Linked DNA regions of Cricetulus griseus. The protein of the gene in region 6 purifies or fractionates together with the protein of the main gene of each other region. This does not show direct contact. Links are inferred from orthologs where the notes say so. Each region holds a gene or a part of one and is shown on either strand. Other genes may lie near its edges. The genes, in order: Cnot1, Svil, Twf1, Kiaa1671, Tnks1bp1, Capza2 and Cracd.

Region 1 (3,500 bases), on a different chromosome or scaffold from region 6:
CTTTGTTGCAGCTTTAGACATAATTACAAACAAAATGGTACTTTGTCATCCAAGCATGCATTAAACACAACAGTTCAGATGTTGTGAACATCTGAGAACAATGGGCACTAGTATTTATTGAGGTGAACAGGTAAATTAAATCTTTTTTGTTTTATTGAGGGTTTCTTTGTGTAGCACTGGCTATCCTGGAACTCAGAGATCTGTCTGCCTCCCGAGTGCTGGGATTAAAGGGGTGTGCCACCACACCTAACATACATTAAAATCTTTAAGGTATGTGTACCTCACTGTACTATGTACCATATGCATATTAAACAACAGAAAACAGTTTGCTCCTAGTTTCTCCTCCTTAAAACCTTAAAGGGAAGTCCATAGTGCCCTTTTAAGGCATCTTGACAATGATCTCTTACCTTGTGATCTGTTCCTGGATTGCCTCAGTGTTTGCCTCAGCAAAAAGGTACAGCATGGTGCAGCTGAAGTAGTGAGTGTGGCTGTTTGGGTACCGCAGCTGGTTTGCAATTGCATTTAAGAAAAGATACCGGCCTAAAAATGAAGGAAATGAGATTTTGGGTTTACTCTGAAAGGCCAATATGGGAGACAAATGTTCTGTTTCTGAAGGGGACTGATATACCAGGGAACTCACTTTTAACCACACAAATAAGAAAATCAGCATGGCCTTGTGCAAGGATGACATGAAAATCTGTGAAGGTTATTCTAATTCTGTGGTTTACTAGTGGTTCTCTGGATCCCACTGTTTTTGCTTCTGTAGGTTTTATTTGCAAAACTTTCCATGTTATGAATTAGCGAAACTCTTACACACTTGTTTTTGTCTTTTGTTTTTTGAGACAGGGTTTATCTGTGTAGTCTTGGCTGTCCTGGAATTCTGTAGATCCAAGAGAATTCAGGAGTCATGCACCCACCACCATCCAGCCTTACATACTTGTTTTTATAAAAAGACTGTGCTTAACCTGTTAATAAAAATGTTTTACTGAAATTCTTAAGGGGCTGGAGAGATGGCTCAGTGGTTTAAGAGCATTGACTGCTCTTCCAGAGGACCTGGGCTCAATTCCCAGCACCCACACAGCAGTTAACAATTGTCTGTAAACTCCTGTTCCAGGGAATAGAACACCCTTCACAGATGCTCGTGTAGGCAAACAACAATGCAAATACATAAATTAAGAGGGAGGGAGGGCTACCATTTTACATTCTACAGATTTCCTTTAATGTCTCAATAGTGGAGACCTAGTTCAGCACTGTCTCACCATCCAACCAGCTAAAACATTCTATTTCATCTAGCACTTAGAAAACTGCTGTGGAGGGGTGGGGCGAGGAGCAGAGTGACTGAAGTGGCGCTGGGAGCGGCTGTCGGATGCCGGAGGAGGGGCGGACCAGAAAGATGAGCCTGAAGTCTGAACGCTGGGAAATTCATGTGGCTCAATCTGAGCTCCTATGCAAGAAAGGATGTAGTTACTACGGGCACCCCTGCCTGGCAGGGTTTCTATTCTAAGTGCTAGAGGGAGGAGTACCACAAGGCCCACCAGAAGCAGATCCAAGAGGACTGACTGGGAGCTAGCAGAAAGGCCAGCGGGAAGAGGAAGAGGCCTTTGCTAGCAGTCAGAGCAGCCAAGGAGCCCAGTCCCTCACTTTCTCCAAGTTTGAGGAAAAGAAAACCAATGAGAAGACCCACAAGGTCACCACAGTGAAGAAGTTCTTCAATGCCTCTTCCAGGGTTGGATCCAAGAAGGCAGACATTCAGGAAGCCAAAGCTCCCAGACCCTCCATAAACAGGCAAATCAGCATTGAGACGGATAGAATAACTAAAGAGTTCATAGACTTTCTCAAGACACAGACAGGCCAAGAAATCTATAAACAGATGAAGATGTTCTTGGAAGCAATGCATTACAAAAGGGATTTAAGCATTGAGGAACAGTCAGAATGTACTCAGGACTTATACCAGAATGTGGCTGAAAGAATGCAGACTCGTGGAAAAGTGCCTCCAGATAATGGATTAGATGGAAAAGCACATTATGACCCGTCTCTATAAATTTGTGTTCTGCCCAGAGACTACTGATAATGAGAAAAAAGAGCTTGCCATTCAAAAGAGGATCAGGGCTTTGCACTGGGTGACACCTCAGATGCTCTGTGTCCCTGTCAATGAGGAAATCCCTGACGTGTCTGACATGGTGGTGAAAGCGATCACAGACATCATTGAGATGGACTCAAGCGTGTGCCTCGGGACAAGCTAGCCTGCATCATCACGTGCAGCAAGCACATCTTCAATGCCATCAGATGACCAAGAATGAGCCAGCCTCAGCTGATGACTTCCTGCCCACCCTCATCTACATCCTCCTGAAGGGCAACCCCCACCTCGGCTGCAGTCCAACATCCAGTACACCACTCGCTTCTGCAAACCCAGCCGGCTTATGACTGGCAAAGATGGCTACTATTTCACCAACCTGTGCTGTGCTGTGGCTTTCATTGAGAAATTAGAGGCTCAGTCTTTGAATTTAAGTCAGGAGAATTTTGACCGATACATGTCCGACCAGACTTCCCCAAGGAAGCAGGAGTCTGAGACCTGGTCCCCCGAAGCCTGCTTAGGTGTGAAGCAAATGTATAAGAACTTGGACCTCTGGACGGGTGTTGGTGGCTCACACCTTTAATCCCAGCACTCGGGAGGCAGAGGCAGGCGGATCTCTGTGAGTTCGAGGCCAGCCTGGTCTCCAGAGCGTGTGCCAGGATAGGCTCCAAAGCCACACAGAGAAACCCTGTTTTGAAAAACCAAAAAAGAACTTGGACCTCCTGTCTCAGTTGAATGAACGTCAGGAAAGGATCATGAATGAAGCTAAGAAACTTGAAAAAGACTTAATAGACTGGATGGACAGAATTGCCAAGGAAGTTCAAGACACTGCTGAGAAATACCCACTTGAGATTAAGCCCCCAAACCAACCATTAGCAGCCATTGACTCTGAAAATGTAGAGAATGACACCCCCCGCCCACCCCTTGCAGCCTCAGGTATACGCAGGATGATGTCTGCTCATGGCCATATTTACTTGGGGCTGATTTCAGGGAGCTTCTGTGTTCCACTGTTCAGGTCTGGGATACGAATTAACTGCTTAAAACGTCAAAGTATTTTTAAGGTACAGTTTTAGGAATTGTTTTATTTTTTCCTAGCAGGGGAAGCGTGATGGGGAATGTTCTGTGTATATTTATTTTATTGATTGTTAAATAAAATACTGTTTGGCCAATGAGACATTAAGTTAGACGGGACTAGGAGTCAAAGAGGATTCGGGGAAATGTAATAGAGAAGTGGGTGAATTATGTTTCCATCTTTTCTGTCCTCCCTGATTTTCCCATGGGCTTCCTCTGTGGTGGACACTGTTGTTGGTTTGGGGCAAATTCTTCCGTTTAGAGGATAAAACAGATAGATGCTACAGAGTCTATGTTGAAATGAATTCAATGTTCCCACACTCTCCCAGTGTGAAATCATTTTGTAGTTGTAAAG
Region 2 (3,500 bases), on a different chromosome or scaffold from region 6:
TTGAAAGCACAGGCTTCCTCTCTGAAATGCTTTTCAAGACTGACCTGGCGAGCCCTCGAATCCAAGAGAAGGTGAACTGACTTCACAAATGGGAAGTCTCCCTTCATGAAGAGCTCATGCGTTCTCATCGCAATTCAAACCAAACTGTGTCCAGAAGGGTGATGTTTATTGTAATAGTCTGACTAAGAGGATATAAGGAGGGACCTTAGGAACAGACTGCCTTGCAGTCACCAGTGAAATCTGCTTCTTTAGTCACAGTGGCTGTTTTGTATTGCTCACTGAAGAAGCCTCTTAACTTCTACCAAAAGCTAAGGGAAGGCTTATCTGAAATTTCACCTAGGGTTCATAGCAAGGCAATTTGGAAGAAAGCAAGAACCTGATAGGCTCCAGTTTTATCTCCCCCAAAGCCCCAAATTTTAGGTCTTAAATCTAATTTGGACATGATGTGGAAGAATAAAAAGAAAAGAGATACTTGCCCTCAACCATTGGCACCTCTGAACCCGAAGGGTACCTAGGAAAAACAGAAACAGATAATGGTGATGGTTAGTGGTGGGCACACAAGCTACACATGAAACATGAAACACAATGCAAGTGAACTATCTTAAAGAGTTGTCTCGGACTACAAACAGTTGTTAGCTGACACTGTGGAGCGTGTACACACAACCCCAGCCTGGTGCACACTTGTGGAGAAAAAGTAGTACTGACAAGAAGTTATTACGTGGGACTAAGTGCACATTTCTGGTGAACCTTATGGTTTCTATACATTAACATATGATGGCATCATACAAAAATGTAAATATAAAAAGTAAGCTGTTTATAAGATGAATACAAAATCCCTTATGCCCAATGGCAGATGCTCAGTTCAAACCCTGGTTTAATGAAAGCACAAAAAATGAGAAGCACTGACTGAAGAAAAGTGTTTCTCCTCACCTGATCTGCGGGCAGTTCACACCTATAGGGGATATCAGGTATAAAAAGCAACATTCTTTGGAAATACAATTCCATAAATAAAAGTATCCTTACAGCTGAGATGGAATAATCCTGGAATCCTATGCAAACAGCATCAGGCCCACCAGGGTATTGAGAACCCCGTGTTTGAATTGCTGGAAGTACACACACGTGCCTACCTATCCGACTCCTTTCGCTCTGCTGAAGTTATAGGTTGAGTTCTAAATCGCTCAGAAGTTTTTCTGCTTTCACCAGGAGAAAGATAGCGTCTTGGTTTCCGAGACCCTCTCTCCCGTTCCGTGGGCAAGCCAATTCCTTCAGCTGATCTCTCAACTCGGGATTGGCTTTTAGGACCACAGGGCAGTGAGTGCAAAACAGGGAGAGGGAGAGAGGGAGAGAGAGAGAGAACAGAGGAAAGGCTTATGCATCTCAGTGGAAGACACAGAGCGCTAGGTTCTACATGCTGCTACCATGCGCATCGCATCTGCAGGTGGAACATTCCAGAGACCCACTCCTCTAGATCCCAATTAGTAGGCAGAAGCAGAATGGTAGTGTGTGAGCCATTTCTTGTACATTCTGCCCTGCACACACTTGTGAGCTAAGCTAACAGGACACACCATGGGTGGAGAAGTGAACCGTCTGCCAAAGACGTGCAAGTGACATATCGGAAGGATGCTGGGAACATCACCTACAGTTCAGGTTTCTTGCTGGCTCTGGCTGACTCCAGAAACACATTTCGGAGCTGGGCAACGGAGACTCTGGTGTCCAGCATGCTGGCTTCTGCACCAGGCCCTTCTGCCCTGGAACTCCGCAGCTCCAGCTCCTGGTTTGGGGCTACATCCTTGTGTCTGGGGGCCTGGAGCTGAGGGGGACCTGTGTAATCCGACAGGGAGCGGGCCAGGACCTTGCGCTTCTTTGGAGAGGCCTCTTTTGTGTGACTGGTCAATGTGGCATCTTGGGACACAGGACCACTCTGAACATACAGAACCATTGCACTCCGGTCAGTTCTCTGAGTGGGCTGCTGTTGAATTCGCCGCTCCCTCTCAGGTTCTACGGCGATGGAGTGAATGGTGGACTCATCTAAATCTTCATTACCAGAGGGATCTTCGTGGCCTCTCACCAGGCTGTCATCTTCCGAGGTCAAGAGTGATTTGGGGCTCCTCTCCGGAGTTTCAGGGGCAAGCACATCTTTTGCTTTTGATTCACAGATACGCAGTCCTGGAGCATTCCTCGACCCACCTTCTAGAATCTTCAAGGTAGTAGATTTTATGACATTTGGGGTGGTTGACTCCACCCAGCTGCATTCAGATGTGCTTTCTGGGGTATCCACGGTCACCAGCTTGATGGCATGAACAGGGTCAGCTGGAAGGACACAGCTCCGGCTTGGCCGTAGTGAGCTCACTACCTTGCTGGTGACCCTATTGAAGGCAGAGCTTTCTGACTGGATAGACAGGAAATGCGCAGGTCCTGGCTGTTGCCTCCTCTGAGTTAAGGACTCTGAGGTGAGTTCAGGGCTGCTTGGAGCACTCTCCTCTTTCACCAATTTTTCTCTAACTTTAACTCTTAAGAAAAAAATAGGATTTATGTTGTGGTGTGTAAATCACCGAAGGGGAAGGGAGCATGCACAGAACACGGATGGCCTTGGAGCCAATGCAGAAAGAGCAACATGTGGAAATGCATTTGGGCACTGAACACAGACACCTAGTGCTTGCCAGTTAAATGAAGTGAAATCTCCAAATCTGCATTCATATTCTAGTGTGGCCCCAAAGTCTCCCTGCCCAGTTAAACTGAGAGTCACATTAGAATAAGCCCATTCACTGAATCGGCTTATTCTAATGAAATACTTAGCCGCCCCGGGAGACTTCATTCATACACATCACTGTAAGCATTAGTGTACAGGAGGCAATGCCTAGTTCAGGACCCTGTACAAGTCCAGACCCAGGTGTGGCTGTTGCGGGTGGCTGGCTGTGCCAAGGAAACATATATTCTTCGGGGAGACAGCCACTTCACTGCCCAGTGGATAGGTGGGCATTTGTGATTACTTACGTTTCCAACTGAGCTTCATTGCTTAGTTACCTCTCGAAGCACTACACACATACTCGTCGCAGACTTTGGAGGCTAAGCTGACTATGTCATCTGAACCCAAGACATGGTCAGTTTGGATGTCATTACTCATGACCACACCACCACAGGAATGTTAGGAAGAAGGCATTTGTTAAGAGAATCATGAGGCCTTAGCTCTCTCCCATTGATGCTGCACCTTAATTAAAAACCAACTTAAGGAGGGTTTGTTTTTCGTTGTTTCTGATTTTTAAATATTTGACAGCAAAACTGAAAATGATGTCAAAAGTTACTGACTGTTCCCATCTCTGCAGAAGCCGGCTAACCCTGGGGGACCTTACCTGCCCTTCCCAGAACTCAGTACTCTCTACCTTTAAAATGTAAACAGTAGGGTGGGTGGGAGGGGAGGGTGCTGCCTAGCATGCATGAGGCCCTGTATTTGGTCTCCACCACAGGGGAAGAAAAGACTCATGCCACAAGGTAAGGAGGCT
Region 3 (3,967 bases), on a different chromosome or scaffold from region 6:
AACAATATGCAGTTTATGTAAACTTAAAAACTCAGAACTGCATTGTATGCTAGGCAGGCATTTAGGTAAAGGGAATAGTTCATATACATATAAAACTTTAAACTGCAGCTACCCCGTGGGAAAAAAAAAAGAAGTGCAGCAGTCAAAAGATGTTTTACATCAGAAAAACAGTAACATTTAAAAAATTAAATTTGGAGAAAAAATTAAAAAATATAAAAAATTAAATTTGGCTTGGAGCAAACTATAAAGTACCAAGTCATTAATTTAAGAGGTAGGTATTTATTTTTTTCTTCTCTGAAATTTCCTAATTTGACATTTTTCTAAGATTAAAAAAAAAACTGGAAAATATTTAGGAAATAAAAATTTTCTATCTGAAGAAGTGCTAATTAGGTACATTTCATCTTCCCATTTTGTTTACTAACTAGTCATTTAGGAAGTAATGACATTCAATGAAGTAGACAATCGTTCCTATTGAATATTGTAAGATTTTTCTAAACTATTTTCACTTTTAATAGGTGGAAAAATGAAAACTAAAGTTGATTTATTTCCAGTTCATGAAAGACAAGTTATTTTTCCAAAACAAAAGTCTCGAGGGTATTTGAGAAGGCCAAGGGGATGATTTTAGCACATTCATTTTGATAAAAAACTATCAAGAGTGACTTCAAATTCATCCAATTCTGATCTGATATGGCCACTCACACAGTTTTCCCAATCACACAATTACTGTTAAGGAGCCTGTTGTTAGAATGTTTCCAAACAAGAAATAGCAATACTCTCTTTACTCTAGGGCCCAATCAGATCCCCCCCCCAAAAAAAAAACCAAAATAAAAAAAAAACCCATTGAAATATTTTTAAATCAAAACATACTTTACTGAATTAACTCACAAATAATTAGTTTTGTTTGTTTTAAAGTAGCTCCTAGTTACCGATTTCCATTCTGGAAGAGGAAGCACTAATATTAGAAGTGGATTATAACGCAGAAGGATACACAAAAGATGAAGCTATCACAGCAGAAACCATCTGGAGTTTCCTCAATAGCTACACAATTTAAAAGGAAAACATGCTGAAAGGCAAAAATCTAAACTTGTTTCATGCTGATTGATAGTTAAAATTACTAATAACACTTGGAAACCTGAAACTGTAACAGCAAATACTCAACTGGCACATAGTATCTTAAAATGTTAACTAACCATTTTCAATAGATATTTTCAGAAGCCTGTATTTCCCGTTTCTGGCTCTGGCAAAGATCTCTTTAACATCTTCACTTGCTGTGGAAAATGACACAGAAAAATAAACCCATTTTTAACTTAAAAGTACTTTATTTTGCTCTTTACACAAAACAAAGAAAAATGTGGAGTATATAGCACTTTCTTACTGTTATTATAAAAGGCACACAGAGTTTGGGCATTGAATATTACTAAAAAAATAAATACTAACATTTTTAAAGTAAATGAACTCAACATTTTGGTTACAGAATTCTATAGCAGAAGTAACACTGTGAATACTTTTAGTCAAACCCAATAATGGACAAATTACTTCATGTTTGAAAACCTTGAAAGTTGCTTTTACAGTCCAGTTTTAAGTTTGTGACAGCACCTTCATTTCCTGTTATCTGTCCATCAAAAACAATAGGATCAAGTCTCATATTCTGATTAAAAGAAAAGCGTGTAAAATGCACTAGATCTTCCGGTGTTTACATTTTTTTGTATCTCTCAAAAGGCTATAGTAGTCACTGAGCATATAAACATTTAATAACCTATCCCTTGTGTACTCAATTTTGTCCTTGTGTTGCTGATTCCCAGCAAGACGACTATTTAGGTCTTGCTATATAAAAGGCTCAAACATCAAACTTAATAATTTTGACAAATTTAAATGTCAAAACTTACACGGAAAAAAAGACAAATGTTTTTCGGCATGAAACTATTTTTGCCTGGGTGTGTATAGAAGAAAGGTGTCAAAAACCCTGAAGCACAAAACAAGTTATTAACTGGTCACCTAAGGGGAAAGACTCAGTTGACTATTACAGGAAGTGCTCTAGTTTATGCTAGCATTCGTTAAATAACTCCGGGATATATTATTTGATCCTGAGGAGGCGAGTACTTCCAAGTTGCCTGTTTTCAAACCAGGAAATAATGGAGGGTTAAGGGATACAACTAATTGCACACTGAACTGTCTCCACGGGGTGATTAGTTGCAGACACACAGACCAGACTTCGGCTGCCTGGGGAGCATCCAAAGATGGAAAAACACTTCCTCAGGATTTCACCGAGAGGAAAGCACGCTCCCGTTCAGAGAGAACAGGAGTAGGGGAGGCAGCCTACAGCTGTGGGATTTGTTTGTTTTTCAAATGAGTGCTGGGACAATCTCCTCGGCAGGGGGTACCGAGGAAAGTCGCTCGGAGCCAGGCCAGCCTCGGGTCTTCCTGCTCCAGGATCGGGGGCCCGGGAGGCGGCAGGTCGGGCCCCATACCGATCCACACTTGTCGGCTCTCCCGCAGCCACTGCCTGTTAACGTGGCGGCGGCCGGGAAGGGCCGCCAGGGACACGGTCGGGGCCGTCGCACCCAGAGCCGCTCCAAAGCCGTCCGCGCCTCCAGCGCTCGGGCCCGCCGCCTCCCGGGAGCCCCTGCCCCGTGGCGCCGTTACCTTGGATGCCTGTCTGGTGGGACATGGTGGCGGCCGCAGGTTCCCGGCTCCGGCGCAGGGTGCGGCAGCGGCACCGGCCGGCGGATCCAGGAAGTAGCGGGTCCGCCTGCGCGTCATCTGCCCGCGACCCTCCGCCCCGCCTCCCAGCACCAGCTGCCTTCGCCTGCCGGGCATAGGCCCGCCCACATCCCCACCTCCTTCCCTTTCACTGGCTTCTCTCTGTTGTCGTCACAGTCCCCGCCCCTCCAGCCTCTGGTCACGCCTTTTCCGTCACTGGCCCCACCCCTCGCTCCCGGCCCTCTGCTGCTGTGCTTAACAAGGCAGCACCCTATGGCGACGTGTTGCGACCCATACCAAAAAACTAATCTTAGAGGAGAAATAACCATTTCCCCAAGCGTACGTTTTCTAAGTAAAAAACATGCCCTTTGTTGTAAGGAAAAGGCCCCTTTAAGTCCACAGATAAAACAGTTTAGCACAGCATAAGTAAGATGGGGTTCAAGACCACTTCTGGCCTATTTTAAAATATGAGAGTATAGAATCCTCCATCATTTCCCTCGTGATTTGAATTTAAAGCTGTTCACTTTTTAATTGGTCACTCACACAAAACCACAGTTCTCACCTCAAAGAGAAAACGGTAGTTTATTCTGAAACCAAATATGCAGGTTGTGTGTGTGTGTGTGTGTGTGTGTGTGTGTGTGTGTGTGTGTGTGTGTGTGTGTGGCGAGCGCGCCATCCCCTAGTATCATGTTCCAACTTGGTAACAGTTGTATGAATTCTTTTTTGCAGTAGCAGAACAAAAGAAATCATAAATCAATGCATCTTTAAAATTATATTTGGTGGGGACATGGGTTCAGATATTAGCTGATGACATTTTTAACCTTTAAGCTAAGTCGTCTGACCATCATAAAAGGATTTCCCTAATGGTTCCAAAGATGGATGTTAGGTAAGACATGGAAGTGGTCAGTCCAAGATAATCTGGCTTGGGACCTACAACACCACAGTCCTACACAATCAGGTAGTTCTAAACAGTCAGGCAACCTTTTGAGGCTTTAGCAGGTGTGGGGTGGCTTTCTTCCTGGGAATTTCAGTTCACAGCACCTTAAGAGATCTCATTGTCCTTTATCAGATTCCTCAGACCTGAGTATAAAGTCACTGAAGCACTGAGCTGACCTCTGTGAAAACCACTGAAAACCATCAATAGGACTTTGCTTCAGGTTAGCCCTTTGTTGTTTCAAATCAAATGTATATTCATAATTACCCAGAATAAATTTGTATGGAAACAGCAGATAGTAGCTAAAATTCTTTCTCACTTTAGGCTATTATT
Region 4 (4,209 bases), on a different chromosome or scaffold from region 6:
CTAACATATAAACCAGTGAACCAGCACCCCCTGAGGCGTGTTGTGAGATGGCTCAGGGGGTAAAGGCATTTGTTGCCAAGTCTGATGACTTGGGTTTCATTCCCTGGACCCAAAGAATTCACGTTGGTCCCTGGCTGCACCAGCTACCAGGGCCTTGAGTTCACCCTCGTGGAAGCATGTAGAGTACTGAGGAGGGTGGATCCCGCCTTGTAACATCTCCCTGCTTCGGCCACAGTGGAAAACAACAAGGCTGGAGGTGTGGGAGGTGTTGTGTGGTACTCTAAGTGTTGGCAATGACCTCAGTTGATGACTCTGTGCACTGAGGGCTACCAGGCTGAGGGCTCCTCTGTGAGGACACTGCCCACATCCCTTCAGAGTTTCTCTCTTATCTGATGGAAGGTCCTGGTGGAATTTTGGTTCTAGTCCCAGATCTATGGAGGCAGAATCAAGAGGACATGGAGTTCAAGGTTATCCTAAGCTACCTAGAGAATTTGAGACAGCCTGGGCTACATTAGACAGTGGCCCTGGTCATCTAGGATGTTGGCTTTATTTTTCAATATATTCATGGATGTTGAGGCCTAATCTCTATATGTGTGTATGTGTGTGTGAGACAGAGAGAGAGAAAGTGTGTGTGTATATGTGAGAGAGAGAGAGAAAGAGAGAGATGAAGAGCGTGTGTGAGAGAGAAAGAGAACTTGTGAATATCTCTTCCAAAAATCTCCCAACATATAAACCAGTGAGAGAGAGAATGAGAGAGGGAGTGTGTGTGTGGGTGTGTGTGTGTGTGTGTGTGAGAGAGAGAGAGAGACAGACAGACAGACAGACAGACAGACAGACAGACAGACAGAGAGAGGGAGATGCTAGGGATATAACCCAGAGCCTTGCATATGCTGAGTGGGTACTCTGTCACTGAGACACACGCTATCCCTGCTCCTCTAATCTAAAAGGCAGTCTGACCCTGGGGACAGCTTAGCCACGGAACCAGGCTGAGCTGGAACTGATCCAGCTTCACTACAGCACCTCACCTTCTCACCTCATTTCCCACTGTGCCCCCATGGTGAGTACCAACTGAGCCCAGCGCTAGGGATGTCCAGACCCTCTTCTCACCTCTGTCTGAGAGCAATCATTACCATTCTCACCTCCCCTCAGGGCAGTGGTGGAATAGGTGTGTGGGTGTTGGGCTAGCCTTGAGCTTGTATGTAGTTATTGGGCTAGCCTTGGGCTCGTCAGTGGGTATCGAGGCAGCCTGAGGCTGAGCGAGGTTCTGGAATGTGTCCACTTACGGTTTGGTCAAATCTGCAGGCAACGACTGCCCCTGTGATGCCCTTCTCCTGACCTCCGGCTTCGTCCCTGCCCTCTCCACAGTCCAGCCTTTGATCAGAGCCTGAACATTCACACCAGCTCTCTCAGGCTCTGGCATTGTGGACTGGGACTCCGGGGTCACAGGCGAGGGCTCGGACACCACTGCCAAGGCTGCAGCACTGCCTTCCTCAAACAGGCTGAGGCGCTTCCTGATGCTCCTGGCAGACTTCCTCTCCATCCCTGCAGGAGCCTCCTGGTCAGACACTCCACCCTTGACCTGGGCCAGCCCCAGGCCTCTTCCTGGCCTGAGCAAAGGGGGCTCCAGCACCTTCTCTGACTGCTGATCTGGCTTTTCCTCAACCTGGAGACTCTGATCATCTCCAGGGATGACCCTGGCCCTTGGAGTCCTGGGACTGTTTGTATCTGTCTGCTTAAGAAGAACCTTCTCCCTCCGTGCATGGAGCCTCTTGGCCACCTCCTGGAAGTCTGAATCTGGGTCCTGAGGGGTGGTGTTCATGCAGGCAGGACCCTCTACATCAGCCCTGCGCTCCATGCTGGTCCTCTCTGGGCCCTGGGGCTCTGTTACAGTCTGCTCACCGGCCACCTTCCTCAGCAACGTCTCTCTGCTCTCAAACGCAGCCGTCAGGTCCATAGACAGAGGCCTGGGTTTCCTCACCCATGTCTTCTCCGGAGGTGTAGGGGGAACTTTGCCCATGACTGCCACTCCACCTGGGCCTGGTTTGGGGGGCTGCAGGTAGTCGCTGAACACTGCTGACATGGGCCGTCTCTTGGGGTGAGGCTTGGCCTCTGGAGCCTGGCCAGCGGGGTCCTCCACACTGTGGGCCTTTGGCAAAGGTTGGGCTCGGCCTGCCTCCTCCTGGGATACAGCAGACCCAGCATCCTGTGACAGGGAGGTTGGTCGGGGCAGAGTCACTGGGGGCTTTCGAGTAGGGAGGGCAGGCTTGGCAGCCACCTCAGGCCTGGCACTTAAGGGAGATACCTGGGCTGCTCGGGAGCTAGACTCCAGGCTCCTCTCACTGGTTCCTTTGCCCAGGCTGGGTCCAGCTTTGGTCGTTTCAAAGAAGCCCATGGTACTGGGGCCAGACCTCAGGAACGTGGCCTTGTTAGGTACAGACGGGCCATTCTGCAGGGTCTCCCCACTGTCTGCCTCCTGACCAGCTAAGCTCGGCATCCTTCTGGCCAGGACCTCTTTGGCCTCCTTCTTGTCGGTCTCAGCTGAAGGACAGGACTGGGTGGTACCAGGAGCCTTCTTCTCAAGGACCTGCTCCTTAAGAAAAGGTTTAGGAGCAATGGGCAGAGGGAACAGGTGGGTCCGTAGGGGGCTTTTAGCTCTTAGGAGCCTAGTGGAGGGAGCCCCAGGGACGTCCCCAGTCTGGCAAAAGTAGGTCCTCTTCAGGGCTTCCTCCCTGCTGATGTCACCAAGGCCCGGCCCCGCCCTCAGGGATGCGATAGAGCCAACTTCGACCCTCGTCACCATGGTTACGGATGTAGCTCCATGAGGATTAAGCACACCAGAAACGAGGAAGCAACTGCTTAAAAAAAAATTTTAAACAGTAAATTTAGCAAAGCGTATTTGTAGGACTCAGAGTGAGGGTCTGGGGTAATGAGACCCAGAGACCTTAGCCCCAGAGCCCCAGATCCTAATCTCACCGGGCAAGCTCCAGATGCACAGCCATCCTGCTGGGCCCTGGAAAGGCACAGACAGTGACCTTCTGTTCAGAGAAGTCAGGCAAAGCCCTGTGGTCTGAGGCCTTACCTGGCTCAGCCAGTCTGGAGGCAGCTCCAGCAAACCCAGGATGATTACCCAGCAGAGAGAGAGTAAATAACCATCCTCGACTCACACAGCCACGCAAAGCAGGAGGCTCTGGAAATTCTGATAGTGAGGGGCCACGGAACCCTGCCAGCTGCCTCTCCCCATCTCCCCAAGTGCTAATAAAAAACAAAGTCCTTGGGAGTTTTGTTTTGTTTTATTTTCACTCAACCGACTGTTTTCTGTTTGCTATTGGTTTTGCTGTTGAACAACTGTTTATGCCGGCTTCCTTGTTTGTTTTGGTTGTTGGTTTTGCAGTGGTGAGAACTGAACCCAGGGCTTCATGCATGCTGCACATTCTCCATGCTGCACCAGACCCAGCCCCTTAGAGTCGTGGCTAGGATGAGGGCTTATTGTTGAGAGGCCTAGCAACGCCAAGTGCATCTGCTACTCTACCCATGTACCACATCCTCCCTGCAGGCAGGGTCTCACTTCCCAGTGGCCTGGATGCCACTAGCCTGACTTGCTCAGCTTTGAGATCTGCCCTCAGGCAGGAGCACCTGAATCCTCCAGCAGCTCAGAGAGGTGGGGATGGTAGAAGAAAATAGGCCCAGAGAAGTCCCCAATTGGTTTCACTCAGCTAGAACCAGGCCTCCCGTCCTGGCCCATTATGCCTGGTCTTTTTTGTTGTTGTTTGGCTGACCTCGAATTCGCTACCTAGCCAAGATTGACCCTGAGCTCCCCAGTGTCCTCCCTCCACCCACCAGGTGCTGTGATTACAGGTGAGAGCCACACTGTTGAGTTTCAGCCCTGCCTCTGTAAAATACAGCTTTTCTAGCTTGTCTCTAATCCTCAAAGAATCCTAAGAGTCTCCCTGCTCTTGACCCTCCCTGCTTCGGCTATGATAGCCGGCCCTTCCTAACTACCCCAGATATGGCCCAGCTTCTCCAGGTGATCAGAAGGGAGACAGTGTCCTGATTAACCAAGGACCTCCCAGGCCTTGTGTGGCTCCTTCACTGCAGGGAATGAAAGCAGACAGATTTGGCATTTTTCTCCTCATTACACACCCCATGGACTAACAGATTCCACTGAGAATATGGTCTCCACTCAGCTGGGAGCAGAATGGAGATTTGGGA
Region 5 (4,112 bases), on a different chromosome or scaffold from region 6:
AAGCTCAGAGGACTCTGCCTCAGGATCTGATGAGTAGAGGAAGAAAATTCTTGTCCTTGCCCTGTCACATCTCCAGGCTTTCTACATAGTTCTTGGACTCTGTGCCATCTGAGTAACTGCTCCTGGTGGCTTCCACTTCTCTGAGGCAGGCATCAAGGGAAACATCTAACCTCAGCTGCTTTGCAAGAATGGCTCCTTGTAATCTGGGGAAAGACTGGGTAGGAGTGCATTCTGTCTGCTCACAGTGCGTTGAAGGATCTAAGTCCTCGGCTCACTTGCCCGACTGTAGGGATAAAGCTGCTTCCTGTCTTATTCAAGTGGCTGCATCAGGGGTCATGTGAAGTCAGGCCTGTAGCTCCTAATAGGGGCCTATTTCTACTTTTATTTTGTATTTCTGGTCTGTGAAGTCAATTTAATAAATGGAACTGACTTTGGAAACCATGTCCTTATGTCTCCTTTCCCACTTTACATGTGGTGTTTACCCTTCTATCCGGACTCTGCAGGGCCCTCCTGCCCAGCTGGGAAGCAAGTCTTGAAGCACATCCTGTCCTTCCTGGCTGGACAAGCATTGGTTTTCACCCTTGTCTGTGAACAATGCCACCTGAGAGTCAAGAAATGAGTGCTGATCTGATTAGGAAGCCTCTCAGAGTTCCACTCCATTAGCCAGCACAGGGGTGGGAGTCGGAGGGGGCGGGGTTCTCAGCTCCATCCTTAATCACTTTAGGAGACAAGGGTCTTATAAGGCTTGAGGTAATAGAATGAGGATCGACTTTCTAGTGCAGGGAGTGGAAACCTGAGTCAGGAGGATGAGTAGTGTGTGAGTGAAGTTAAGTGTGTGAAGGGAGGGCTACAAAATTTCATGTTTGGGAAGTGTATCTAAGAGAGCTCTTAAACAGATAACACGAGGGAAAAAGCTACTCCACTTTCTACTGTGGCTTTCAATCTGAATTTATACACGACGGGTGGCCACGTCGCTTGCGCTCCCAGGAAGACTCAGGTGTAACAGGAAGCCTGTTCAGTCCGCCAGCGGTTCCCTTCGTGCTGCCCGCGCTCTATGGTGCTGTAATCAGTGTAGGCTTAGGGAAAGCAGTCCAGAGCGGTTTCCTCTCTAGGCAGTCATCTCGGTGGCGCTGGGGTAAAATTGCGTCAGTTTCGCCTAAGTCTGAATCAGGACCGGCTCCTCATTTACAAGGTCATGAATAATTATGTGCGAGCTGTGCTTGTTTGCATCTCGTGGGCCGGACTCTGTTTCAGCTTCGGCTTCCCTCTCACGGATTCTTATATGAATATTCATGAACGGCATGGAGGCGTGTCCCTGGGCGGGGCTATGGGAGGGGCCCCGGGGCTTGCACTGGCTCGGTCCCGCGGTGACGGTGGCGGCAGCGGCAGCAGCGGTCACTGGCGTCGGGGTGCCTAGCCGAACGGAGCCCGTCCCGGGGAGCGCGTGAGTGTGCGGCGACGGCCGGAGGGGGCGGGGTCCGGGGATGGGGGCGGGGAAGGGCATGGAAAGAACCGGGCGCCTAGCAGTCCCGACCTCAGATTGGGGCGGCGGCGATGGTGGTGGGGGGGTCACTAGGAAAGTTTGCGAGGGCCTGGGGACGCGGGGGCGCTGCGGAGCTGGAGCGTGTGTGCGGGGGTGGAGAGCACTCGTGCCGGGAGCCAGAAGAAAGCGGGGAGAGGCGAGGGTGGGGCGGGGCCGGGCCGGGGGCGGGCGGAGCTACTCGAGGGACCCCCCCCTCCTGCCTTCACCGGCCCTCTTCCTCAACTCTCATGGCACGCCCCCAGCCACCCCAGGCCGCCCTCACAGTCCTCCTCGCCAGTCCTCGGTCTGTTCCTTCGCGGGCTGCTTGGCATCTCTCACTGTCCCCGCTGCTGCCGCCCCCTCCTCCTCCACCCTCATCTGCTCCTCCTCTTCGCCTGGCCGCTCGATGTCCGTAAGCTCCCCACGGAGGCCCTCCAAACAGCCCCTTGCCCTGGGCTGTTCCGCCTTCCTGTTGGCCCTCCCTCTTCCAACACTTAACCCTCCTGGTCGCACTAGTCGCACATTCAGCAGGAGACCTTTAGGGACGACCCTGCCGGCCCTTAGGGTGCCTGCCTGCCCAGGACTGAGGCTGCCTAGTGCCTTCCCATCCTTTGGGGGCAGCCTTTACTCCCAAGGCTGTCTGGTTTCCCTAGACCATTAAGGGTGCGGAGTTCTTGAGGCACTGCGATTCTGCAGCTTGAGGCCATGGCCTTGGTTTCCTGGGGCTCCTGGCTGGGGCCTCTCTACTGTAGCCACCTCCTCTGTCTTCATCTCTGCAGCCCCTTATAACCTCAGAGGTGTCCATCAAGCCCACAGGTGAGAGGATTTTTTTTTCTAGACTAGTTTTTCTTCATTTCTAACCACCCACACCATATCCCTTGTAATAATGTTCAAGGACAAGGAAGCAATCTTGTGTATTTTTAATTTTATTTTTTCCTGTCACCCCCTCCCCCCCCACACACGTTATTCTCCCACGCACAGCCCGTGGTAATTGGCTGATCAGAGATTGACATTGTCACAGTTTCTCTCCATACCCTCTTCGAAATAAGCTGGGACAGGGTCAAGGGGATGGGGATGCCTTTTGCAAAGACTGGGCACCACAGGTCGTTTTTAGCATTGAGAGCTATCTTCTCAGACCAGTTGGAGTGGGAAAGGGACTTTGAGGTTGCAACACAGTGAGGGTTGGGTTGCCCCTCCAGGGTTGTGTGCATTCCGTGTGTTAGGCAGCTTCTCCCTTGCTTTTGAACCTCAGGGGCAGTGCTTGCTATTCATCAGGTAGCAGAGCCTGAGGGGGCCTTGTGGGTGGGAGGGTGCATCAGCACCCAGGGTGGGAACTGAGGAGGTGGAGTGCCTGAAGAACTGATGACTTGGGGTCATGAAGGACTGGTCTAGGAATGCAGCCTAGGGTAGGGGGAGAGTTATAGGTGGTTACCAAGGATGTTAGTTAGCTCATTAGTGACTCCGAATGTAGTCACATTAATAGTGGCCAACTGTTACTTATCACTTCCATGCTTGGTATTTTGCATGCATTATTTGGCTTGAAACTCAAGTCTTAATACCCCATTTTTCAGATAGGGAAAAGTCACACAGCTTTAAAATGGTAGACCCACTTAGCTGTTAAATCTGTTAATATCAGATTCAGAAGCTCATGTGACAGGCTACTACTATGTGGCTGTCATCTGGTTTAATTTCTTCTGGTCCCTCAAAACTCCTTCTGGCCGTTTCCAGGCTAGTGATCCACACATATTCCTATTTCACAGTCTATGCAGGTCCCTCCCTGACTGTCCTGGAAGGCTGGACCCTGAGGAGTTTTCCTCCAAGTCAAGCCTCCCACCCCCACCCCCCGCCCCCCAATCAAGTCCAGTCTGTCCTCTCCCTGCCCATCCTGGGCCGGCTCCTCCTTCCCTTTGGCTAGGCCCTGGAAATCCAGTGGGAGGCCATTGCTATGGTAACAGGACTAGGCCCTGGCTTTACCTCATCAAATTCCAAGCTGAAGCCAAAACGATTGAGAAATTAAAGGAAAAAAATGTATTCCAGATGTTTACTTTTTATTTCTTATTTCCCCGTGTTTGGATGAGACAGCTCTGAGAGAAGGAGGAGGGGGCAGGGATGTGAAAGGAGAATGGGGAGAAGGGGGTAGGGAGCCACTCCCAGCCCATAGAGGGAGGGAGGAGACTGGGAAGGGGGGGGCGGCAGTGGGGCGGAGCCCCAGGTCGGGGAGGAGCGGGTTTTTCCCGTCTCCCATGAGGTGATTCCCGAGACTTGAGACTTTCCGGCCCTCTTACCCCGCCTGGAGTGGATACCTCTAGTGGGGCTGCCTGACCAAGAAGGGTGTCTTGGGAACTGTAAGTAGGGTGTCACAGGAGGGTGCTTGGGGATGTTGTGAGTGAGGTGGCTCTCATGCTCCAGATCTCTGAGGTTCAGAGCCAAGAGTTGGAGAGTTGTAGCAAGGATGTGGCTGTGGGGTCCTTCCCCACCCCGCCTGTGGGGACCTCCCCGACCTCCTCCTGGAGTTCTCTCTTCCTGTCCCACACAGCCTGGGTTAGAAATAGACTTCCTTGGCTAAGCCTGTTGACTCGCCCAGCTCTTT
Region 6 (3,500 bases):
GCTTTTATGAGGCTGAGACAGCAGAATTGCCATTAATTAGATGACAGCTTTAGTTACATAATGAGTACCAAGATAGCCTGAGCTACATTGAATAACCATGCTTTCAAAAACATAAAGTAATAAGGTTCCTATAAAATAATTGCTTTAAATCTGTAGGTCTTGAAGTCTTTGGTTGCTTGTACTTGGCATTACTGTGTAATAAAAGTTTAAGGGAAGAACTGTAAGACTAGGCAGTTTGTAACTAAAGGGAAAATATACACGTATGACACGTTTGACATTAGAGAGCTCAGTAGTTAAGAGGACTAGCTACTCTTACAGATGACCCAAGTTTGGTTCCCAGCAACCACTTGAGTAACAATTGTCTATAACTTCTTCTTCATGAGCATCTACACTCACATGAGCAGCTACACGAACATACATACACATAATTTAAAATATATTTTTAAAGATATATATGTATACTTGTTACTTCATTTCTCCAGAGATTTTGGTCTTTTGATTTTTTTTTTTTAATTGGTTACCATTGCAAGCAATACTACATTGATTGTCTTTGTATTCCTGGTAACATTGACAATGGTTTTCTTTAGATAAATCTCTAGCAGAATTAGAGAATACGTCTTTTTAAAATGTTTAATGGTTTCTGAAGTCATTTAACAAGCTGGCATAATTTCAATACTTCAGACCAAAAAATTTCTTAAAAAGTGATGTATACTAATTCCACACATGACTATAGTTTTAAAAAATTTAAGCATAGTAACAAATAAGGACCAATAAGATGGCTTAGTGGGTAAAAGCACTTGGCTGTGTAAGCCTGATGACCAGATTTTGACTCCTGGAACCCACAGTGGAATAAGTGACCTGGCTCTTAAAAGCTGTCCTCTAAGCCTGGCATGGTGGTGCACAGCTTTAATCCCAGCCCTCAGGAGGCAGAGGCTATCGGATCTCTTTAGTTCGAGGCCACCATGGTCTACAAAGCAAGTTCAAGACAGCTGTTAACACAGAGAAGCCCTGTCTCTAAAAGAACAAAAAACAAAGCAAAACTGTCCTCTGACATAATTGCTATATGTCAATTAAAGTTTAAAAAGTTAGCTGGGGGCGGGGGTGGTGGTGGTGGTGGTGCAGCACACCTTTAATCCCAGCACTTGGAGAGGCAGAGGCAGGAGAATCTCTTGAGTTCAAGCCATCCTGATCTACATAGTGAGTTGCAGGACAGCCAGGGTTGGTTACACAGAGAAACCCTGTCTCAAACAACCACAACCTGTGTCAAACAACCTCAAATAAATGGATAAATTTTAAAAACATAAAGCTTAAAAAGAATCCATTGTAAATAAGAACAGTGTTAAGGATTTACAATAATACTTCACCATTTTTAATGGTGCTTTGCCTTTCTCTAGAAAGTAAAACGCTTGGAAATAAAGACATGACACCACTAATGGATTGGTGGATTGAATTATATTAACACCATGGCATATTTGGCAACCATTAAAGAGAATGGTGAGAGATAGCTGGTAGCCTTTAAGAGATTTCTGTAGATGGTTTGTGTTGAGAAAAAAAATCTAGGTATGTGTGGCTTAACAAGAGAACAAGACCACCAGAGCCATGTCTTGTCCGAAAGGCAAAGATTTATTCAGATGAAGACACGCTGTTCCCAAGAGAAGGGAACGTAGCATTGCCAAAAAGGAGTTTGGGGCTTTATGGAGTGCTTTTAATTGGGCAGGAATGTTGCAGGAAAACATTAAGTAAAAGGAACTGTTATAGGCAAAGGAACTGCATCAGGTTTTGGGGGTGGGTTTTCCTCTGGCCATTAAGATGATAGGAGACTGTCTGTGATCAAGTTTTGTTGAGACAAGGGATCAGCAGACTTCTGAGGAAGTGTAGAATGTTCAGTTTCCTTATCCCCATTGAGGTTGGGTCTCATATGGTCACCCATCTTTATGTCTTCGGTACTTTTCATCTTAAGCTAAAGGTCTGAGCCAGCCCAACAAGTTGTCATAAAAATGTATGTTTGTATATGCATTTTTATCATTCTTTGAAAACAGTGGCCCACAAACCGTGTGTGTCTGCAGATATGTAGATAGATAGGTGTACATATTTATCTAATGTGGCATTTATTACCACAAAAATTTTAGAAAAGCTACATCCTATGTTGTCAGCATGATTTACATCAGAGGGATGGGAAAGTCTTGTCCTGGGTCAGTACTTACAGACTAGGACAGCTACAGGAGAAAAGGGGGGTATGTGTGTGTGTGTGTTTTAAGTAAGACACAAAATAAAAGGGTTGTTCATATATTTCTTAAATGTACATAAATGTATAAATTTTGTTTTAAAGTTTTAGAAACTACTAATGGTGATTAGTTTATAAGAAACAGAAGCACATGCTGGGGAACAGAGAAGACTGGGTACCAAACAAAGCAGGATTGAAGAGCTGCCTCACTGTATTAAAACTGTCAGATTGGCAGGGTCTTGGTTGTCAGAAATAGTAAACTGTGGCTCATTGTGTGGGTAGGGGATAGATAGAGGGCTGGATAGTCAGTTTCCCATTTAGTATCCAGAAACTGTACTGGAAGAAACTCTAATGCACACTAATTAAGAATATCTCTGGTGTCCTTGTGGGGCTTAAACAAGTGTCTGTTACTGTGCATCCATGTTAATATATTTTCCCTAAATTCATTTGAAAATTTAAGGTGTTGATAACAGAACATGGAGACTTGGGAAATGGAAAGTTTTTGGATCCAAAAAACAGAATCTGTTTCAAATTTGATCATTTAAGAAAGGAAGCAACTGATCCAAGGCCATACGAAGCAGAGAATGCTATTGAATCCTGGAGAACTTCAGTAGAGACTGCACTGCGAGCTTATGTAAAAGAGCATTATCCGAACGGGGTCTGCACGGTGAGTCACCAGTGGGCAGTTCTTCCTTTGTTTCTTACACATCTGTGGCAGTCTGTATAATCCCCTGAAATTTAAAGCAATGTGTACAGCAGCCATAGCTTCCAAAGTTCTTTCTTCAAACAGTGTTTACCTTTCTAGAAATATATTCTATCTCCAAAAGGTTGACTGACACAAGAAAATGGTGATGCTATTTTTAGTCTTTTGTCCATGTTTCATCTATTTAGCTTGAATTAGCTTTAATTCAGTTACAGAAATCTTAGAACAAATAAGATAATTATTTCAAGTATTTTATAGTTTTATTTCCCGTTGTTTTAATGTTACTTGTTCATTGATTTAACCTATGTCTATTTTTTTCAAAATGAATTAGAGTAGGAAATTTTTTTTTCCCCCTAGGATTGTTTGTATCCAGATAGACTCTTCACCAGAATTTGGTCTTCTCCAAAGTCATAGTGATCTTTTTTTTTTTTTTTTTTCAACTTTTTTTTATTTGAATTAGAAACAAGATTGTTTTACATGACAATCCCCGTTCCCTTCTCCCTCCCGTCCTCCCCTACCGCGCCCCCCCCACACACACACACACAACTAAAACCCTACCTATCACAAATCCTT
Region 7 (3,500 bases), on a different chromosome or scaffold from region 6:
TATCAGCTCCCTGCCTCCAATAAGGCCTCTTTGGATTTCTTGAGCCTTGCTGAGGCTTAACACTTTGCCGGCATTCCATAACATGTTTGGGTGCATGTGCGTTTTTACTGTATGTGGTGTGCGATATGAGATTTAATATTAGTAACTGGACTAAGAGAACTTGGTTTGCCAATGGCCAAGGAAAACAGAGGTTGCTTGGCAAACGGCTAACAATAAAACTGTTATAGCTTGTGAATTTACTGTTATTTGATCAATTCTGACATTGCAGAAAGACATAACCATGCCCATCTATGGTTTCTGGCATGTCACACTCACCGCAGTACTCTAGGGGCTTCCATAAAGGAAAAGAAGTAACCAAGCCAACACTTCTCAAGGAAGCAAAACCCACCCCAAATCTGAACACTTAAAAAGAGAACCTTCCTGGCCATGATCCAAACTTTGTCTCTAGAAAGATTAGGTGAACATTCCATGGAAGCACAAAAGCCAGTTCAGATCTCCATCTAGCCACCTCAAATGTTCAGTATGAAGAGGCAGTCAGAGCCAAGGGTTGCTCTGACTAACCTTCCTTCCTTCCTTCCTTCCTTCCTTCCTTCCTTCCTTCCTTTCCTTCTTTCCTTCCCTCCCTCCTTCTTTCCTCCCTCTCTTCTTTTCTCAAGACAGGGTTTCTCTGTGCATCCCTGGCTGTCCTGGAACTCTGGCTCTAAACCAGGCTGGCCTAGAACTCAGAGATCACCTGTTCCTGCCTCCCAAGTGCTGCCACTACGGGAAGTCTGCAGAACTGAGAGGATGTTAAGCTCATTTTACATAACAGCGAAGAAACTCCACAGTTCCAAGGCTGATGCCAGGACCTTCCTCTCTCTGTTCTGCAGCAGCCACCCAGAGGGAAGGCAGTTTCCGGTCTAGAAAACTCTACTTTTGATCACCTCTACAGACTTGCTCAAAATGGTTAAAGATATCTGTGTTAACTGGGGCTACATTTCAATCCAAAGGATGTTAAAGTGTAGAAGAACTGATTTGGGGCCAACTTGTTTCTAATTAAGATGTTCCCAGAGCCAGTTCCCTGGGCTCTCTCTCAATTCCCTCTCCACCGAAAGAAGCTGGTTACCCGGTGTGATCCGCAGCCACATACCTTTTCTACCTGTTTCAGAAGTTAGTGAAGGTCTCTCTTGCTGGCTGGATGACAGAGGTGGGGAAGCCGGTTTCTTTTCAGGCACCTCTTCCTCATCCCTCTTTGGCCCCTTCGGCTCCTCTGGCAGTGCTGGTGAGGACGGCTGGTTATCACTGCTCTCCCGGCTCTCCTTGCAAGCCTCGTTTGGCTCGGAATCCACCTTCCCAGGCCGCCTAGCAAGCAGCTCTACCAAGTAGGGTCTGCTCAGTTTGGAGAGTGGGGATGATGGTGGAGTCTGGCTGGTGGGCTTGGGAGCCAGGGCCGGCTTCTGTATTGGTGGTGTTTTGCTTACTGCCTTGTCCTGCTCTGGAACTAGGGTCTGGCTGCTGGCTGGTGGTAGCCCTAACTGGGCTGCAGCAACAGAGTGACCCCTAGAAGGGCTTTCGGCAGAGTCCCTCCGAGGGGCTAGCTTTTTCTCCTGGGGAAGGGATGTGCCATGCTTGAGGGCCACCGCTGCGGGTTCTTTGTCTCCAGGGTCGCTTCCGGCTGCGGGGGTGCCACCATCCACAGTGTCTCCGGTGCTGCTGTGCCTTTTCTTCTTCTTCTGTTCAGCCTGCTGGTCACACTGGAAGCGCAAGGAGTAGTTGGTCCTTCTCAGTTTTATACCGAAGGGCGAGACCTTTTCCTCACCTCCTGGCACCACAGGGTCTGGCTTTCCTATTTCACTCGTGGTCTCGCTGTCCAAAGTGGTCGTGGACCCTGTGCGGGAAGCAGCTTTCTGCGGAGAAGGCAGGCCCGGCACGAGGAAAGATGGAAGGTCTTTGGCAAATTTGCATCCGTCAGTGGTGTCTGGTGGCTCCTGGCTCACCTCTTGCTTCTCCATGCTCTTCCGAGGCTCCGGAGCCGCAGCAGGCGGAGGCTGGGGTGTTGTCTCTTCACCCGGTGCTGGGCCCAGCTTTTTCCTTACGCTTTCACCGTCCAGGCTCTGTTTGAAGGTCTCCGCGCCGCCGTCTGAGAATTTCTGCCAGGCCGGCATGATGGAGAACTTGGCATTGACTGGCGGCGTCCTGCGCAGGTTCCCTCGGGAATCGCACCGCACTCGGGGAGCGGGCTCGTCCCCGGCTCTGACCGGCTCTCTGTCGCCACGCTGGTCACCCTCCGCATTCTTCAGGATCCTGGATCGAATGGAAGCCCACTCGGCTAGCGCCGCGGCATTGCTCGGCGACTCCGGGGGAGGCCTGGCCTTGCTGCCGCTGGACCTGACCTCCACTGTGGGAACGTCCACCGGCCGCTTTTCTTCTGACAGGCCCAGGAGGGACTTGCACGCCGTGTCCTTGATCTGGCTCAGGTTGACCGCCGGGCCGCAGAGCTGCGCTCCAGTGACCAGAATGGCTGTGTGCGGGATGCTTAGCGCAGAGGGCAGGGCGTGTGGGGCGGCACCGCGAGGCACCGGCGGTTCCTGGGTCACTGGGGCCGAGCTCGTGTCCTTGGCGGGAGTCACCGGACTCAGGTTGACTTTGGGGAAGAGAATCTGCCTACCCCCGGAGGACACCTGGAACGTGTAGGGCCGGGGCATGGTCTGCCGTTCGTCCACCTCCTGCCACCGGAGCTCCTCCACCTTTCGGTCTTTATCTGCAGGGACAGCTTCGTTCTTGTCCTCTGAGGCCGGCGTTCCGCCAATCTGCTCCTCTTGAGGCCGGGGGTTGTCTATCTGAGTGGCTTCTCTCTCTTCCACGTCTACACCCCCACACTCCATGCTCAAGTCTCCCCTCTGCCCTGCTGGCTCGCTGCCCGCATTGGCTTCTTCCTTCTGCTCCTGGGCCATCTCTTTCTGCCCCACGGATTCCAGGTTTTCTTGTTCCTCTGGCTTCTCAAGGTCCCGCTGCAGTGGGCTTTGCTGATCAGAGTCGTCCGATAGCCGAGGCTGGCTCTCTCCTTCTGGACTCTGGGGGCCTTCGTCCACCTGCGGCCCTGGCGCCTGCATTGCCTGCCCTTTCAGCTCTTCTATGTGGTCGGCTTCCAACTCTTCCTCCTGCCTCAGCTCCAGCATCATCCTCCTGGCCTCCTCCTCCTCCTGAGCATGCTGCCTCTGGGCCTCGAGCTGCCTCAGTGTCTCCTCCTGCTTCTGGGCCTCCAGCTTCCTCAGCTCCTCTTCCTGCCTCTGGACTTCGAGCTGCCTCAGTTTCTCCTCCTGATTCTGGGCCTCCAGCTTCCTCAGCTCCTCTTCCTGCCTCTGGGCTTCGAGCTGCCTTAGCTCTTCTTCCTGCCTCTGAGCCTCGAGCTGCCTCAGCTCCTCTTCCTGCCTCTGAGCCTCGAGCTGCCTCAGCTCCTCTTCCTGCCTCAGTTTCTCTGCCTGTCTCTCGGCCTCACGCTGCCTCAGTTCCTCTTCCAG

What was found.
Region 1: the proteins of Capza2 (region 6) and Cnot1 purify together in Homo sapiens (affinity purification with mass spectrometry; 3 studies listed by BioGRID and IntAct, counting the BioPlex papers as one, with this or other methods). This does not show direct contact. The link is inferred for Cricetulus griseus from reciprocal best matches to the Homo sapiens genes CAPZA2 and CNOT1.
Region 2: the proteins of Capza2 (region 6) and Svil purify together in Homo sapiens (affinity purification with mass spectrometry; 3 studies listed by BioGRID and IntAct, counting the BioPlex papers as one, with this or other methods). This does not show direct contact. The link is inferred for Cricetulus griseus from reciprocal best matches to the Homo sapiens genes CAPZA2 and SVIL.
Region 3: the proteins of Capza2 (region 6) and Twf1 purify together in Homo sapiens (affinity purification with mass spectrometry; 3 studies listed by BioGRID and IntAct, with this or other methods). This does not show direct contact. The link is inferred for Cricetulus griseus from reciprocal best matches to the Homo sapiens genes CAPZA2 and TWF1.
Region 4: the proteins of Capza2 (region 6) and Kiaa1671 purify together in Homo sapiens (affinity purification with mass spectrometry; 3 studies listed by BioGRID and IntAct, counting the BioPlex papers as one, with this or other methods). This does not show direct contact. The link is inferred for Cricetulus griseus from reciprocal best matches to the Homo sapiens genes CAPZA2 and KIAA1671.
Region 5: the proteins of Capza2 (region 6) and Tnks1bp1 purify together in Homo sapiens (affinity purification with mass spectrometry; 4 studies listed by BioGRID and IntAct, counting the BioPlex papers as one, with this or other methods). This does not show direct contact. The link is inferred for Cricetulus griseus from reciprocal best matches to the Homo sapiens genes CAPZA2 and TNKS1BP1.
Region 7: the proteins of Capza2 (region 6) and Cracd purify together in Homo sapiens (affinity purification with mass spectrometry; 3 studies listed by BioGRID and IntAct, counting the BioPlex papers as one, with this or other methods). This does not show direct contact. The link is inferred for Cricetulus griseus from reciprocal best matches to the Homo sapiens genes CAPZA2 and CRACD.

Annotation. Positions count from the first base shown.
Region 1 is NC_048596.1:171,908,708-171,912,207, forward strand, and holds part of Cnot1 (CCR4-NOT transcription complex subunit 1), read right to left. Parts: intron 3,026-3,500; exon of another isoform or gene 2,782-3,025; intron 2,613-2,781; exon of another isoform or gene 1,379-2,612; intron 541-1,378; coding exon 408-540; intron 1-407.
Region 2 is NC_048596.1:209,309,419-209,312,918, forward strand, and holds part of Svil (supervillin), read right to left. Parts: intron 2,511-3,500; coding exon 1,641-2,510; intron 1,293-1,640; coding exon 1,128-1,292; intron 512-1,127; coding exon 477-511; intron 1-476.
Region 3 is NC_048595.1:391,074,365-391,078,331, forward strand, and holds the start of Twf1 (twinfilin-1), read right to left. Parts: upstream 2,801-3,967; 5' UTR 2,669-2,800; coding exon 2,644-2,668; intron 1,269-2,643; coding exon 1,191-1,268; intron 1-1,190. UniProt on the Homo sapiens protein: Actin-binding protein involved in motile and morphological processes. Inhibits actin polymerization, likely by sequestering G-actin. By capping the barbed ends of filaments, it also regulates motility.
Region 4 is NC_048597.1:92,814,329-92,818,537, forward strand, and holds the start of Kiaa1671 (uncharacterized protein KIAA1671 homolog), read right to left. Parts: upstream 2,801-4,209; coding exon 1,284-2,800; intron 1-1,283.
Region 5 is NC_048599.1:90,486,593-90,490,704, reverse strand, and holds the start of Tnks1bp1 (182 kDa tankyrase-1-binding protein), read left to right. Parts: upstream 1-1,312; 5' UTR 1,313-1,444; intron 1,445-1,954; exon of another isoform or gene 1,955-2,338; intron 2,339-3,714; exon of another isoform or gene 3,715-3,867; intron 3,868-4,112. Other genes in the region: FACT complex subunit SSRP1, read left to right, coding at 1-37.
Region 6 is NW_023276806.1:208,890,533-208,894,032, reverse strand, and holds part of Capza2 (F-actin-capping protein subunit alpha-2), read left to right. Parts: intron 1-2,684; coding exon 2,685-2,891; intron 2,892-3,500. UniProt on the Homo sapiens protein: F-actin-capping proteins bind in a Ca(2+)-independent manner to the fast growing ends of actin filaments (barbed end) thereby blocking the exchange of subunits at these ends.
Region 7 is NW_023276807.1:143,290,549-143,294,048, reverse strand, and holds part of Cracd (capping protein inhibiting regulator of actin dynamics), read right to left. Parts: coding exon 1,130-3,500; intron 1-1,129. UniProt on the Homo sapiens protein: Involved in epithelial cell integrity by acting on the maintenance of the actin cytoskeleton. Positively regulates the actin polymerization, by inhibiting the interaction of actin-capping proteins with actin.